3 linked regions of the Caenorhabditis elegans genome follow. The protein of the gene in region 3 interacts with the protein of the main gene of each other region in a pairwise test. Each region holds a gene or a part of one and is shown on either strand. Other genes may lie near its edges.

What was found.
Region 1: the proteins of F31D5.2 (region 3) and unc-46 interact in a two-hybrid assay, tested with the Caenorhabditis elegans proteins (one large-scale study listed by BioGRID).
Region 2: the proteins of F31D5.2 (region 3) and C23H3.9 interact in a two-hybrid assay, tested with the Caenorhabditis elegans proteins (one large-scale study listed by BioGRID).

The regions. Positions count from the first base shown.
Region 1 is NC_003283.11:5,096,477-5,101,836, forward strand, and holds unc-46 (Lysosome-associated membrane glycoprotein 5), read right to left. Parts: upstream 2,550-5,360; 5' UTR 2,428-2,549; coding exon 2,296-2,427; intron 2,245-2,295; coding exon 2,170-2,244; intron 2,101-2,169; coding exon 1,975-2,100; intron 1,925-1,974; coding exon 1,849-1,924; intron 1,791-1,848; coding exon 1,676-1,790; intron 1,631-1,675; coding exon 1,566-1,630; intron 1,079-1,565; coding exon 888-1,078; 3' UTR 599-887; downstream 1-598. Other genes in the region: srab-1 (G_PROTEIN_RECEP_F1_2 domain-containing protein), read right to left, coding at 3,622-3,815, 3,873-4,074, 4,131-4,238, 4,288-4,362, 4,778-5,165.
Region 2 is NC_003280.10:76,140-81,499, forward strand, and holds the start of C23H3.9 (Metallo-beta-lactamase domain-containing protein), read right to left. Parts: upstream 3,128-5,360; 5' UTR 2,290-3,127; intron 1,540-2,289; 5' UTR 1,157-1,539; coding exon 1,020-1,156; intron 899-1,019; coding exon 798-898; intron 1-797.
Region 3 is NC_003280.10:4,213,044-4,218,403, reverse strand, and holds F31D5.2 (UNC93-like protein MFSD11), read right to left. Parts: upstream 2,787-5,360; coding exon 2,626-2,786; intron 2,064-2,625; coding exon 1,876-2,063; intron 1,690-1,875; coding exon 1,593-1,689; intron 1,548-1,592; coding exon 1,472-1,547; intron 1,426-1,471; coding exon 1,302-1,425; intron 1,250-1,301; coding exon 1,160-1,249; intron 1,087-1,159; coding exon 816-1,086; intron 767-815; coding exon 631-766; intron 580-630; coding exon 429-579; intron 344-428; coding exon 225-343; 3' UTR 163-224; downstream 1-162. Other genes in the region: F31D5.7 (F-box domain-containing protein), read right to left, coding at 5,069-5,219.

The sequences.
Region 1 (5,360 bases), on a different chromosome or scaffold from region 3:
ATTGGGTTCGAACAAAAAAAAAGTTTTCGTGGGAATTTCTGCGTTGAAATGGAGTTTGATTCCAAGGTTTTTATCGTCAAATTATTCTTTGTTCCACCAATCGGCAAATGTTTTATGTGTTTTATCATTAACCTTTTTTGCATATTTGAGTTATTTTTTGTTGGCAAACTAACTACTACAAATTTTTAGTCTATAGACACCCAACGTCTGGGGAGTTTTTTGAGATCATCTATGTAGTAGCCTAGGTTGAAAATGTAAATAAACCAACGCAAACACCCAACGAACAAGTTTTACAAAGTAAAACACTTTTGTTGTAATATATTGTTGTAAGATATTGTTTGTTTGTTGTAAGACAAAGCATTTTTTTTTTCTAATTTCAAATAATGATATTCAAAAAATATTACTGGCATAAAGTCGTTTTTACGCTTTCAGATAAACTATTGAATACGTAATAGAAAATACCCCAAAGTTTCTGGGAAGCCGTTCTCTCCAGTAGGCTATTAGAACTTGTATAACTCGTAATATATACTTTTAATTAATACAAAGGTTTCAGTTTCTTGAAAATATCTAAAACTTGCTAGTTCAGTAAATAATATACTTCAACATACCATTTGTTTCATTGTGAGTAGACATTATTTCTAATACATATATCCAAATAAAGTATAAATATAAAGGGAAAGAAACTGGGAATTCACATAAAATTTTTGTTTGGAAGAATTTACATAAATCACACGAAAGAGTAACAAGAAAAAACGAAGTTTAGTCTAATTCAATCTACGACATATTTCGTCTACAACCTTCAACGTTTTATTAGCTCACGATCAGAAAGCAAATTGATTTTCGTGAAAGAAAAAATTACAGAAAAATGTTTTTGCACTAAAGATATTCTAGTTCATTGCCGGAAGTTTATCCAAATTCTCATAAAGCTCTTTTCGATGAGGCATAAAGTGTCGTCGAAGCATATGCCCAACTATATGAGCAATTGATGAGAGGGCCAGTACAACCCCGCAGAAAACAGTGGAACGATGTTGAAGGGACTCGGAAAGTGTCCGTTTGCGAGATCGTTCGCAGATGTAAACTGAAAAATATTTATTTTTGTTAACTTGTGAAAGGTAATATGATAATTGACTTTTACCAGAAGTTTTTTTTTAATTTCAGATAAAGCAGCTGAAATTTTACAATTTTCAGTATTTTTTCCAGTAATTTTTTTCAAACTTAAATAAATTTCGAAATTTTTAAAACTCTCTCATGGCATAATTTGTCATTTTAGTACTCCGTCAGCCATTTTTTTAACACATGATTCCAAAAAAAAGAAATGTTTGCAAATAGACATCATAATGTTTGCCTACTCCTAGACTTTTAGATGCCCTTAAAATCATTAAAACATGCCTGCATAAATCCACTTCCAGAGTAATGGAAGTATTCAAATAAATTCACTGGCAAAATATTAGATCGACTTTTTCTAGTTCAGTTTTAAATCCACTGAAAAATGAACTCCATCCCTCTTTCCTTCCCCGAGCCTCTCGAAACATTTTTTTCTTTCTTCTTTTTCCTAATAAACCTACAATTGCTTTTTGGTCCATACGGCTGAACATCAATCTCTGGAGAGAACATCACCAATATCGGAAAACTGAAAATTCTCAGTTTTTATTAAAATCATAGCTTTAAAACTTACTCAAAGTTTACGCTGTGCAATGTCACATTAATTCTATCTTCACAAACATATTTTTGCGTCAGTGGAGCCGAGAAGATAACTGATGAGTTATCAGATTCAAATACTGCAGAACTACCTGAAAGAGACTTGCTCATGAAGTCTTATGAAAAATGCTTTTTTTTATATTAATGTACCAGCGAATTTTTCCTCGTAGATCACTTTGTTCAATTGCCATCTCAATTCATCAAGGCGCTTTGCACGCATTTCTTCCTGTAAGTAAAAACAATTTTAAATCGATGAAAGTATGATAGTTAACTAACAGTTCTAAAAACAAATTTTAGAGTTTTCATTCTTCCGTCGGTCTCTTCTATGGTAGATGATATGACAGCTTTGCTCTTTCGAGTAACAGCACAATTTCCTTTGATGAGTCCAGATGGCAAATGAAACTGAATTTTTAAGTAACATTTAGTTAGAAATTTTGTGTATATGGAACTGAAATCGACTTAATAACTTACGTCAATTGGAACACTATTGTTGTTTTGTTGATTTAGTATTTTGACTTGAAATGTCACACTGATACAGGTGTCCCCCTGTAATTAACAATTTTTATAATTGAAACATTTTTGGTATAATAAACAAACATTTTCCTTTTTCAATCCAATTGTTTGATTTTCATGAACAAAACTTGATTCTATACCGGTGCTTGTAATTGCAGTGGAAGTTGTGAGAGCATCAGTGAAACTGCTAATCAGTAGAAAGTAAAACAAATTCATTAAAATCTTGTTTTTGCGAAGAAACGAAGGATGTTGAGGAGACACTTTTGAAGATGAAGAAAAGCGACGAAGAAGAAGAAGAAGAACAAATAATTCCGTGTGGAGCACGGATTGGAGGACCAGGACCCCCAAAATGAGCACACACTTTTAAGCTCTTTTGATGTATTCCATTCTACGACCCATCTTTCTTTCTTTCTATTTTTCATCGTTTTTGTCATTTGCCGCATGTACAACTATCACATTTAGTTGGAATGATTTTAAGTTTGGGGAATATTTTAGATTTTAACTAAATGGAGTTTCAGAACCAAATAGAGAAAATGAATTTCGAATGTATATATATTTTTGGTTTTTATCAAGTAAATTTGTCCACTTTGTGGAATAATACAGAATAATATTCGTGAAACTGCAATTTTCAACTGAAAAATAGAATATGCTCCTTAAATTTCTAAAAGTATCTGTACTCTAGGGGTACTGTAGGAGTATTGTAGAATTACTGTAGACCAAGAAATGAGTTTTTAAATATTGAGTTGGGTTTTGGAAAATCTTGGAAAAATTTGGAAACTTCTGAAAAATTCTGAAAATCCGAGAGACTTCTAGCAACTTCATTCTGGATACTTTGAGAAATTTTTAAAAATTTTTTCGAATGTTTTGAAACTTTTGGAAATTTTGGGAAACTCTTGAAAAAAAATTTAAAACGTATGGTTAAATCTGTAATTTCATGTAAATTTTCAAAAACTCGAAAGGCTTTAGAAATATTCTTTGAAATTCAGGAAATTCAGTTTAGAAAATTCTGGAAAATTCTGAAAAACTCTGTGATAATTCTGGAACCTTCTATAAAGTTTTGGAAACTTTTAGAAACTTTTGAAAACAATTTAGAACTTATGGAAAAATCTGGAATTTTTTGACAGTAAATTGTTTAAAATTTGATAGACTTCAGAAATATCCTCAAAAATTCAGGAGAGCTACTAAAGTGTTCTAGAGACTTTTATTATAGAATACTTTAGAAACACAGATTTTTAGAACTTTCTAAATACGTGTTAGTGTATGAAAATCTTACAGAGGTTCTAGAAGTTTTCAGAAAGTTCTAGCAATTTTTTGTTGATTTTCCGAAAACTGAAAACATCTGGAAACTTTCCAAAACATCCAAAAACTTTCAAAGCAAACAAGAATTGACACTATGCAATAAATCATTTATTAAGAAACAACAAATGTTACCGATTTGGTTTTTTTTACTTTGTCAAAAGACTGATCAAAAAACTTTTGCAAATCATTAAAATATTGCGGTTCATAATGATCTACTTTTATAGAGAATTGTCTGTGTGGCTTCTTGTCTTCCTTGACCATTAGGAAAATAAGTATCAAATAGTAGAGAGGAAGGCAGTGAACGACTGAAAAATTAGAAATAAAAGTAGTTGGAAATTTTTCTGAATTGTTTTAAAACCAACTTTCTATAATTGCAAATTGCCCCGCTGATGACATTGATTTCAAAAAAAAATGAACTCCGAACGTCGCTGCTGCATTGTAAGTAACATAAATCCATGTCACTGTGCTAACTATTCGGAATTTTGTCAATGTTTGCAGGTTTTGTGATAGTTGATATCTTTGAGATAATGTCGATCGTTTTTGCAAGGAAGCTTCGCGAAATTTCTGGAAAAAAGTCTGGGAAAACATTTTAATTGAACTTTATATTATTTAAAACTAACCTCATTCTTTCTGAGAAGATATAATAACGCGGGAATAGTTATCAATTGACTGAAAACAATTACGAAAATAGGTAGGTTTAGCATATATCGATTTCCGGTAGATGACATCTATAAAATTTTTTGATAGAAATTTAGAATGTGTTATTGAATTACTTACCCAACAATAATAGATTATATCGCCGCCGACCTTTTCAGATGACTGAATTGTAAAAAGAAATAGAGCAAGGGAAATCTGAAAATCAAAAAAGTTGACGGGCGTAGAGTAGCGTCACTTCTCGTATTGTGCTAAAATTTCCAAATATCATTGTAAAATTTTTGAAAAAGAAACATTTCTTTTGAATTTTTTAAAATCAAAAATGCCCACAGTTTTTGAAAAATTTGACAATTTTTTTTTGCATTTATTTTAATTTATTTTAAATTTTTTCAATTTAAACTCTAATCTTGCAGAAGTTTTCCAATTGTGGATGAGGCTTCGCAATTTTTTTTTTGCTTAATTTTATCGGTTGTTCTTTTCTAATTTCAAGGTTTCAATAAAATCACATAAGAAAATGCGAGTAAAACCATTAATTTAAAAACATTTTGAAATAGACAATTCATTTTTGTAGTCGGCCTACTACCAAGTACTGATTAAAAAATCCGAAACTCACATGAAAAATGTTCAATAAAACTCCACACCATTTATATCTATTCTCGTAGTGTCTCGCTCTAAACGTTGCCACAAATCGTTCTGCCGTCAACACAAACGGAGTGACCTCTACCACAAACGCAGAAATCTTGTACAATTTCCGGAGTTCACATCTGCTTCTAGACGGAAATATTTCGCATCCGCTCATCCACGGTCCAACGTAATTCAGAAGATCTTTTCCGTGTAAAATAATTCGAACAATCATGTGGATAAACGCAAAAATGGTGAGAGTATGAAAGATACACTTGCTGTTGAAATGAAGTTTTGTGGCTTTTTGAATTGCCAAAAATGAGTAAATGGTGCATGGAACGCATAGAATGCAGAGGAGGGTGGTCATACCCAGGGAGGTTCTGAATTGGTTCGAGTTTTGAAGTATTTCAATATCGAATTCAGGCTAGAACTTTGATGCATCTATAATTACTCTATAAGCTGTACTAATAGTCTATCAAAATTGGGCGAATTTTTTAAAGTTTTAAATTGTGGCACCTGGTCATTTTCTTTTGAATTTCTGCACTTTTTGCTTACTGCATGATTTTTTTTTGGCT
Region 2 (5,360 bases), 4.1 Mb from region 3:
ATGAGCCAAATTTTTTTTAAATATGAGTTTTCAAGGAAATCTAGAGCAATGTCGCATGTTCCGACCCCTAGAAAAACAAATGATTAAATCAAAATTAAAGTATAAAAATCGTAGAAAACAATTTTTTAGTCGACTTCCGAGATTATGAGTGGCAAAAACTGAGTAATTGTCACTTTTTGACAGTAAATAAAAAAATTTCAAAAAATTTTTTTGAAGAGTTTTACTATGATATTCGGGTAATTTTGGAATCAGAGTTAAAAAAAACATCCCCACTGGCGCTACTCCAGTTAAGTTAAATTTCTAAAGAATTGCTCTTTCGAAAATGTTTTAATTCGCCAAAACTGAAAGTCAAAACCTTACGCTACTGGATCTGTTAAATTGTATACAAAATTTGTCGAATTTTAAAACTGATTTCAGCCTACGGATTTATTAATAGTTGTAACAAATTGTGATATATGAAGTAATTTTTTTTGTTTAATTTCGAAAATTTTTTTCTATTAGTAAACTAATAGTAAGAGTGAAAGATAAATTTCTCAGATTGTCCTAGATATCGTTCTGCTATTCATATGTATCCGTTGTTTTAGCCCAGCCATTTTTTTAAAGCGAACTTTACATTAGACTTTTTGGCCATTACGTAACCAGCGGTCACATCAAGAAAAAAGATGACAGTCCACGCACGATTCATCACACGGAAGATTTCTTATCACTAGTGCAAACAAAAGAGCATCACCCTCACAGAGAGACTGTTAACACCTAATCAAATGAAAACGGGGATGATTGACAGAAAAATCGCATACCGTCACGACTGTGAGATCTTGGTTCGGACGTCGTCGGCGCTTCCGGTGTGGTTTCGGTCGTTGTGGCTTCTGTCGTCTTGTCGGATCCCCATCCGAATAGTCTGGAAGCAGAGCTGAGAATTATTAGGGGTAGTTCCCCAGTCGTATGACAATTGGGGAATTATTTTTAGTTTAGAAACGAGCCGGTTTATCAGACACGTAAAACAGGGGAAAAAATGTTACCTCAGAATGCTTCCAGCCAAGTCATTTTGTCCATTGAGACTCTCTCGGTTGTTCAAAATCCATTGTCTCAATTGTTCAGTTGTAGCTCCATGCGTGCCGCTGATCAGTAACACAGTAGCAATAAAGAATAACTTCATATTTTGTTAGATTAAATGTGTGCACACAAATATTAAATAAGATTTTTGTGTGGGTGGTTGTGTGTAAATTATATGAGCAGAATATGTATATAGTTAACACGAGAGAGACTGTTGAAGAATGCACACTTCGTTTCGACGATTTTATGTGAGAGTTTTGGAGTTCTTGTGCTCAATAGGATGATGGGGTGGGGTCAAAAGCGAAATTGTGCGTCGAGCTCCTTACCGCGCGGAAAAAGAAGCGCCCTGTGCAAAAGGGGCGGAGATTACAGTGTATGTGTGTGTGTGTGTGTGTGTGCACAAGCTTGTCGCTCTTCCTTCTGATCCTATGGCGTTCGTTTCTCACACTTTTGTATTATTCTTTCTCGCAGATTGAAAGGAGGATCCTAAAAAAGAACACACGGATATGGTAGAAAATATCAAGAAAATTGTGTGTGTGTGTGTGTCAGTGTGCTCAGTGAAAAGGGAGAAACGATTTCATTCCGGCAATTCGACAAATTGCCGGAATTTAAAATTTCCGACAAAGCGGCAAATGGGCACATTGCTGGAATTGGAAACTTCCGGCAAATCAGCAATCTGGCAAATTGCCAAATCCGCCGGAAAAACGGCCATTGCCAAAAATTTTCGACAATTGTGGTTTTGAATTTTGCGCAACCTCTCACGCCACCAACAATACCGTATATTTCGTATTGTTCCACTTTAGCTTCTCCGTTGTTTTTAATGAAAAGTTCATAACATGAATAATGTTCTTTTTTCTATAAGTTTCAATCAATTTTATTGATATATTCAAAATGAACCTTGGTTTAACTTTTCAAAGTAGAACAGTGGAGTTTAGCAGAAATAAAAAATATACGGTAATTAACCGTTGTTGTTATCATGTTGTGCTACAGTTATTACAATTATTCTGTATTCTTTTGTGACCGAGTAAAATTTCAGTTTACCAGCCGCGCATATAAATAATTTTCAGTATGCCTATAGTAGTCCAAAAGTACCACGGTATTGTACTGATAATAATTAAAAATTGCATTACATACTAATTTAATTAAATTGCCTCTCATTTGAGGGAATAAATTCGGAACAAGTTCTAAAATCTGTCACGAAAATACTTGAAAGTTTTTTGCCTTCTTTGCACTAACCGGCTAGATGTACTCAGATCTATCGGACGGGTGAGAAGGGTCATCTCATTGCTTTTCTTCATTCCACCCGTTCTCTCTTCCTCTCATCATCACACGAGTGGCGGTGCAGCAGCAACAGGAGCAGTACCTATCTGTATTTATTTATTTACAAAACAACTTTCCCCTCGCGGCGGTTCTTTCTCTCGGCGAGAACCTCCCAATTTTCGTCGGGTATCCTTTTGTTACGTTCGTTCGTGAAGAGAACCTTCGCGCCGCCAACCGTTTTTTTATTACAGAAGTTGTTGGATCATCATTCAAGAGCCGTGGTGCACGATGCGGCGACGCCGTAGCTGAAAAAATGATGAAAAAGTGGATTGAGAGTTCAGTTTTTAGATTCTTTGTAGAAAAATGGTCACAAGCTACATTTTGATGATTTATTGCAATGTTACTTACGTCTACAGTGGAAGAATTATTGTTTATTATATTTTTACTTGAGAAGTTAGAGTTGAGGGCTTCATGAAAAAAAAGAAGCTTGAAAACTAAAATTTACATCTTAAAACTCAATGATCTAATCGTCAATTAGGTATTGCAAACCACACACACATAAAAATTTCTCAAGTTCGTGCGAACTGAAATTATTTTTCGAAATAATAGGCTCATTAGATGTTGTACAGTACTCATTCATCATACAAAGAAAAATATTCGACCTTTGCTCGAAGTGTGTTGCAATTCTACGCATATTCAACCCACGCAATGAATGGCGCCTCTTTTTCAAACAGATTCCATTCTTGTTTTCTTTTTTCTGTTTTGCAATCGTTCCTATTTGTACATCGCGTTTCTATTGGCGAGCGGGTATGTGCATCGGAATCGACGATGAAATCTGCAGTGGGAAGTATTTACACTTCATGCAAGAAGTACCAAAGTCGGAGCAAATACCAAACGGGTGTTCGTTGGAATATCGTTGAAACATTTTGAACTCGTGTTACTGGAAAAACATTAAAACACTGTTGGACCACTGCCAACATTAAAAATGGGCAAACTTCGTATTAATCAAACATCGAATAATCCACAAATTGCGGTGAATGGACCTAGATCTTTAATAGCTCTGTTTGATTAATAAAGAATACTTGATAAAGAACTATATGATGCAATTTTTCATGTTTGGTTATTATATCTAATGTTTGATTAAAACAGCCTAGGTAATATTTGTGAAAGTAAAGGACTTGTTCTTATTTGGAAGGTTCACATTTCCACAATGATTTGATTTGAAAATCATTATGTAGAAAATCGCATGGGAAACAAACATTCGTCATGTTTAAAATACCAACTAACATCTTTCACATTTTCATACATGTAAGCTAATGGAACAGCAGCAGCATTTGACAAAACGGAAGATTGCGCCATATTGCTTTAGTATTTAACCTTAACAAGTTAGCGCCAAAATGTAAAACATTTTTGTTGAAAGCTTTGAATATGTGCTCAAAAATTCTGTGAAAGTTAACCGTTGCCTAAAATTTTTTTCTCGATAATTGTTTTGAGAAAAATTCGCTTTGACAAAAATGTGATGCCTCCAAACGTATGGAAAACTGAAGCTTCAAACAATAACTTGGGAATCAATATAAAAATGGGGTGAGTGCAAATTGCACTTTCAACTAAAAAAATCGAATCAGGCGATTCGGTCCCATTTCAAAAACGACACCGAAGTTGTTTATTTAGTGTTATATAAATTAACATCATTCCCTCGGCGGCTTATCATCGGAAAGATTGCTCTGTTAATTATGATTTCTGATGATTGCGCATTTTTAAATATCTCTTTGTTCTTTTTCAATTCACGCTCTTTTTGCTTGCCCCTAGGTGTTGTTAACTGATTTTCCTTTTTAATCTGCACTGCTGATGTTTTGCAAACATCACATAGAGCACAAGACACGGTTTTCGCTAAATTCCTTTTGATAGTGAATGGGGTTATTCTATACTTTCGTGGGTAGATAAATTTAGTTCAGATCAGGGGTGTGCGAACATGCCGAGTTCGGCAAATTTTCCGAATTTGTCAAAACGGCAAATTTCAAAAAAAGTAGATTTGACAAATTTTCCGATCTATTGGGTTATTTTGATGTTTAAGCAGACACACTACACGGGACTTATTCAGAAAGCATATGTGTGTTAAGAATTCAGTAGTTTCAGTACTCCAAAAAAATGAAAAATTTCATATTTTTCGGAGTTTGTTAAGCTCGGCAAATTTTGAGAGTCAGTATTTTTGAGGAGTTTTTAATTTTTCATAACTCTGTAGTCTGGAACCGAGTAACACTATTTTTACGAAAATATACTTTTCGAAAGCTTTTGTTCACATAATGTTTTTGGAAACTTTCTGGAAAAACTGACACATTTTTTATCTTAAATGGAGGAATCATTGTATCATTAAACATTGACAAATTTTCAGAAAATTGTTGTAACAAGAGTTTTTGCCTTGAATTTTCAGATTAATTTCCAAAGTGCTCATCTGTCGCTCAAAACTTTGTAGGAGCACATTTAGAAGGTTTTCTTTTAATTGGCATTAATTTCTGATACTTCCCTTGCTATTGACTCATACTGTTTTGAGATTCATTTTTACCGTGAACGAATCAACCAGCAATATCTCTAAACTTCTGAAGGGTCAGATTTGATAGTCAGTTTTAGATAGACACCAAGAATTATATTGTTATATTCTAGTAAGAACGATGTTGTTTCACTCTGTGTATAGTATTATGTCAAGCTTTGGCTGGCACTTGTAGCTTTTCATGACAATTTTATAGGTGTAAGATAATAAGAAGTAACTCAAATATAAAGTACTAATCAAGAAGCAAACTTCAACACACTCCAATGTGTTCGGTTTCCGTTCGCCTCGTCCGCACCAACGGATTACCGGAGCATCGTTGTCGTGCGAATGCTCAGGGCTTAGAAGATGTGTGTCTAGGTAAACATGCGGTCATCTCATTGTGCCACTTTTGTGCGGGGGAATCCTACTGTGGTGTTGTTTTTGTGCATAGGAAGAGGGATAGATTTTCAATCAAATTCAAAACACAAAAATCGAAAATTGAATGTATTCTTTCATCGTT
Region 3 (5,360 bases):
ATAACTGTAAAAAAACGTATAAAAAATAGGGATTAACATTCCGGACGCTACGTGGAAAATTTCATATTTGTGAAACAAGCAACATTTTTTTCCAAAATTGGTCAAATATTGCAGACACCGTACAGGTTGTAGTGTCAGAATATAGGTGGAGTCTGATAAAGTTTCGAGTATTATTTATTAATATCAATTATGTCAAAGTATTATTCAGAAAATGCAAAAAAAAATCAATTTAAATCAGTAATTTTTCTTTCCGTTTTCTCCGAAGACTCTATCGTTGATCCGCTCTCACTGATTTGAATTTTTATTGGCTCAGATTCGATGGCAGGGTGGATTTTTGTGTTTTCTGAAATATTAAGGTTGTAGGCAGGCTGTAGGTAGGTAGGCAGATAGGTAGGCAAGCCGCTAGGTTGTCAAAAAATAAAACAAACCTTGAAAGAAATGCCGTGTCTTGTGGAAATATAGCTTTTGAGCCATGACTGCTGCGATGGCTGATAGAATGGCAAAAGCTCCATAAAGTAGAAGATGACCGGCCAAGGTAAAGTATTTTGATACGAAGAAAGCTATTGTGGAGGATATGGCCTGAAATTTAGTATATATGAGCCTAGACAGACCCTTCAAGTTGAAACTTACACTGTAGAACTTGAATAGAGCAAATGCGTGAGACGATTCTTCAGAGTACCCGTCACAGAGGAACGAGTAGACTTGAGTCTGAATAATTGCATCGCCGAAACCAAGAAGCCCAGAGCAGAATATTGCAATGTAGGCACTGAAAAATCCATAATTGTTCAACTTAAAAATTCCCAAAAAATACAAACTTTGGCTCAAAAATCCCAACATTCTGTGTAGGACGTAGTGGTGCATCATATGGGAAGAACAGATAAATCAATACAAAACATATCAAATGAAGTACACAAGCAATCACTACAATCATATCTTTTCCGAGTATTCTGACACGTTTTCCGAGTACTGAAAATATTCCACCAGCTACAATTTGCCCAATCCCGGTTGCAATTCCACTAATTGCTAGAAGTTTTGTGGTGTTTTCTCCGAGTTTGGAGGTGAATTTGATGCAGGTCGGGTAGATTGCTGTAAGGTTTGAGATGAAGTAGGTCGGGTAGATTGCTGTAAGGTTTGAGATGAAGCCTATGTGCCTGCCTACCAATCCAAAACGACCTGGAGAACCCGGTGTACAAGAAAATAAACGCTAGCAGGAGCATCGGAGTTTGACGGATTAACCGGAATGTTACTTCTGCAAATCACTAACGTAAAAGTAACGTAAAACTCAAAAAGTTTGGACCAACTCAATGTTCCGGCTAATGTAACTGCTTCCCTCTTCTCTGGTACATACGCCGGCGCTGGAAGGAATGCAGTATTGACTGCAGCAACTACCGAGATGGAACAGAACACGTAGACAAAGATTTTGAACTTAAAATTTGAATATTCAGTATAGATTTTTAACTGAAAAATTTACATCTCCACTTAGCACCAGCTCGTGCATAGTTTGATCCTGGAACATGAAGTAAAGGAAGACCCCGCCGCCTAGGAGGCTGAAATTATATAATTTGTTAGATGTTAGGCTAAGTAAAACATACCTGAATTTGAAAATGAGCCACATTAGAGCAGTGTTGCGTTCGATAGTCTCACTTGTGCAATTTTCCGTGAGGTACTTTCCTTGACCAACCCAAAGGACTGAAATTTCTTTGTCAGCCTATATCTCAATTCTCCTTTTTTATATCAAAAAGTTCTCAACTGAGAAAATATTCAAAATTTCTTTTTCTATAGTTCCATAGTTGAAAATGTTTTGATATCTCCAAAATGAACCGAGATATTTACTACCAAAGTAAAGTACTTCAGCCAAAACTTCAAAAAACTCACAAGCTGCTCCAATTCCCAAAAGAGCCGATGTGGTGTACAGGTATGCACTGTTCAATTCAAGAAATCCCAACTGAAATGCAATGTACGTGAAGAATCCAACAACCATCGACCATTTCGCAGTTATCAAGTCAACCACTGGAGCAATCAGTAGGCAGGCAATGGTGAAGAAGAAGTAGAGAATCGCGAAACTGAAAATAAGCAATTTGAAATCATGTTGACCCTATTCATAGAGCTTGTTGATATTTCTACAAATTGTGACCCGTTATGATCTCTGGTGTTAGTATTGTTTTGATAATCAGATTAAAACCGTAGACTTCCCAATTACTATAAAAACGAGATGACCGATAGATTATGCAAATGTTCAAATTTCTAGAGTTGAAAATATGTTTGCATTGAACTTTTTGGTATTAAAATATTTTAAGTAGGCAGGCGAGTAGGTAGGCAGGCAAGTGATAGGCAAACCTGCCAAAATGCCTGCCTACGTACACACGAACCTATTATGTTTGAACTTTGAACTAAAATTGAAAAGAAAAACCAAAAGAACAATTTTTCTGCAACTGCTTTTTTACCAAAAAAAAAGTGAGTGAGTTTTGGAGATTATCCCCTGAGATTTTCGCAGTTTCACAAAAATTGTTTATGAACATTGCTTCTTTGATTTTGCAACGTTTGAAGCAAACATACAGTACAAAACTCGTACGCTGACTCCCGCTGACGCCCGCTGACGCCTGCTGACGCCTGCTCACAACTTACCTATGATATCCGGCATGAGGATCAATATTTCCTCCTCTTCGGTGCTCTTCTTCTATTAACGGCTCCTGTATAAACTCTTGACTCATATATGCAAAAAACAAAAGCATAAAAGAAACTGATAGTCGTATCACATTTTTTGTTCCCGTATCCAGAAGCACCATCTGGAAATTTCAAGTTTTTTTTGCTATTAATTTTCGGAAATATTTAACATTTATCAAAATGATAAATAAAACATTTCCAAACTCAAAAACAATTGTGAAAGGCGATCACAAAAATGATGGGAAAAGAGAGAAAATTGAACAACGAGGAACAAAACGAATAATGTGGGTGGCAAAGGAGAAACGGAAAATTGAAAAAAAAAAGGCGGGGTTTGTGATTTTTTTGGGATTATTAAGGATTTTCTAAAGGAAAAAATGAACATGAACTCGTAAATTATAATTGGCATTTGGGTTAGGGTTTGGAACTTTGACTTCTGTAATTTTCAGATTAAAAACTACATATTTGAATCGGTAAAAGTCTAAACTTTTTTTAAGAATTTGAGACCAAATTTAAGAAAAAAAAATTCTCGAAGAACGTTACACTTAAATACAGCGTGCCCCGACCTGCATCAAATCCCTACGTGCCTACCTGAGTTCTAAATTTTTCGGTTAATTTTTAACTTTAGACTGAAAAAATCATAAAATTTGCATCGACGTTTATTTTAAAAAAATGAGAAACAAATAGAAAAATAGGATTGTTGAAAATATTTTTTAAAGGTTGTTATAATGAAACATATATTAAAAGAAATCAATTTCTGACCCAAATATTCAACAAAAAAAAACAATCTTTAAAATGATGATATGATAAGGTGACAGTGAAAGTGATACACAATGTACAAACATATATGTACACACAGAAAAAGAAACGGGATAACAATAATAATAGAAAGTGAACATTATATGAATTTCGAATAACTATCCCCAATTTCATTCAATATTTTCCGCCTGAAACGAGACACAGAAGACCAGGGGGGCGGCCAAATGCCAAAACAATGATCATAAAACCATCAGAACGGACGGTTTAATGTGCGAAATAATATTGAGAATGAGACTTCCGATGGTCTTCTTTCTTTTTGTTCTTGCAATTCATTTTATTTTTGAAGAAATTTTGATCAAAGTTTGATATAATTTTCGGTCGAAAATCACATAACTGTGATATAAAAATTGTTTTCCATAAAATTATCTAGAAACACATTTTTTTGGAATTAAAATTCTAGTCGGAAAAATTTCAATTTGTTTGAAATATTTCAATAATCGGAAATTCTTATTTATTGTCTAGAGGTTTTTACAGCTTACAACTTGGTAAAAAAGTACCTGCCTGCCTACAACGCAGACCTCGCCTGACTAGAGTATACCTAGACTACAACTCAAAATCAATAATACCTAAAAATTTTGAAACTCTATTCAAACGGTTTTAACCAATTCTATCTATATAGTTTTTCTGCTTTTACGTCAAATTTTTGATGTATTTCATTTGTTCCAAAAAAAAATGCCCGCGGTTCTCAAAACTAATTAATTTTACAAGTTTTCCATTCAAAATTGATCAGGAAATGGAAAACTACTTGTCGATTTCGGTCTCACTGCTGCTGAACAAATACTAATGAATTGATTCAAAGGGAGCTAGAACAATATTTTCATTAAAATTTTAAACATTCCACTTTCACAAAAACTCCTGTTCTATGTAACAATATGTTTACCCGGAAGTTGTTGGCTACCTTCAAAAACTTCAAAAATGAGCATAAGCCGGGACTTTATTGTCTGTAAACGTTTTTAGGAATAATATTTTTGCGGTTTTTGATCATCAGGATCCTGAACTCTGTAAACCTTTCCTATAGTGCTAAAATGGTCAAAAATCATAGTAAAATTTTCCAAAAAAAATTTGAAATTTTTTTAAAATTTTGTTTCAAAAATGACCTGTCAATAAAAAATTTTTAAAACTTTAAACAAAAAAATTTTGTTACGACAGGTGGATGTTTAGCACCATAGGAATGGTTTTTAATCATTTCCTCACCGGCCGTACTGCACTCGTTTGCACTTATAATATCCAAAAGTATCTGAACACACATCTATAAAACCCCATACAAACTGCTGATATTTGTCATAGAAAACCGGTACCTGAACATAAAAGGAAATAGTATACGGGAATTTTAAAGTTCAACTCTTTTATAAACACAATAAAAAATGCCTCCTCTTGTGTTCCTGCAATACTTCAAAGGTGTAGACTCAACTCAAAGAAAGTTTGGAATTTCTTAAATTTCTGAATTCCAGTCACAAGAAACGAGAACTTCTAACCGTTTATCAACTTTTATTAAACTGAAAATTATCAACAAAAAAGAAGAAATGGGTGAAATTGGAAGCTCAGAGATAACGAATGGCAAAAAAATTAAATCAAATTGTTAAAAATGTTAAACTGCTAAATCTGCCGGAACAATCTTAAGAGTGCCGTATCCAAAGAGAGTTCCAGCAAGATTACGAGGATACCACTTGGCTGTTAGAACAACGTGTTTTTCGGGATTTTCCATCTGGATCCGTACGACTGTGTTGGTATGTTCGACTCTGTAAACTTAATTTTGTCAAGAAATTTTGTAAGGGCTTCTCAAAACTGCCACATCAGTTTTGACTATTTAAACATGAAAATACAACTGTGATTCCACGAATCAAACACAACCAGCACTGTAGGATTACTGTAGAGCTAGA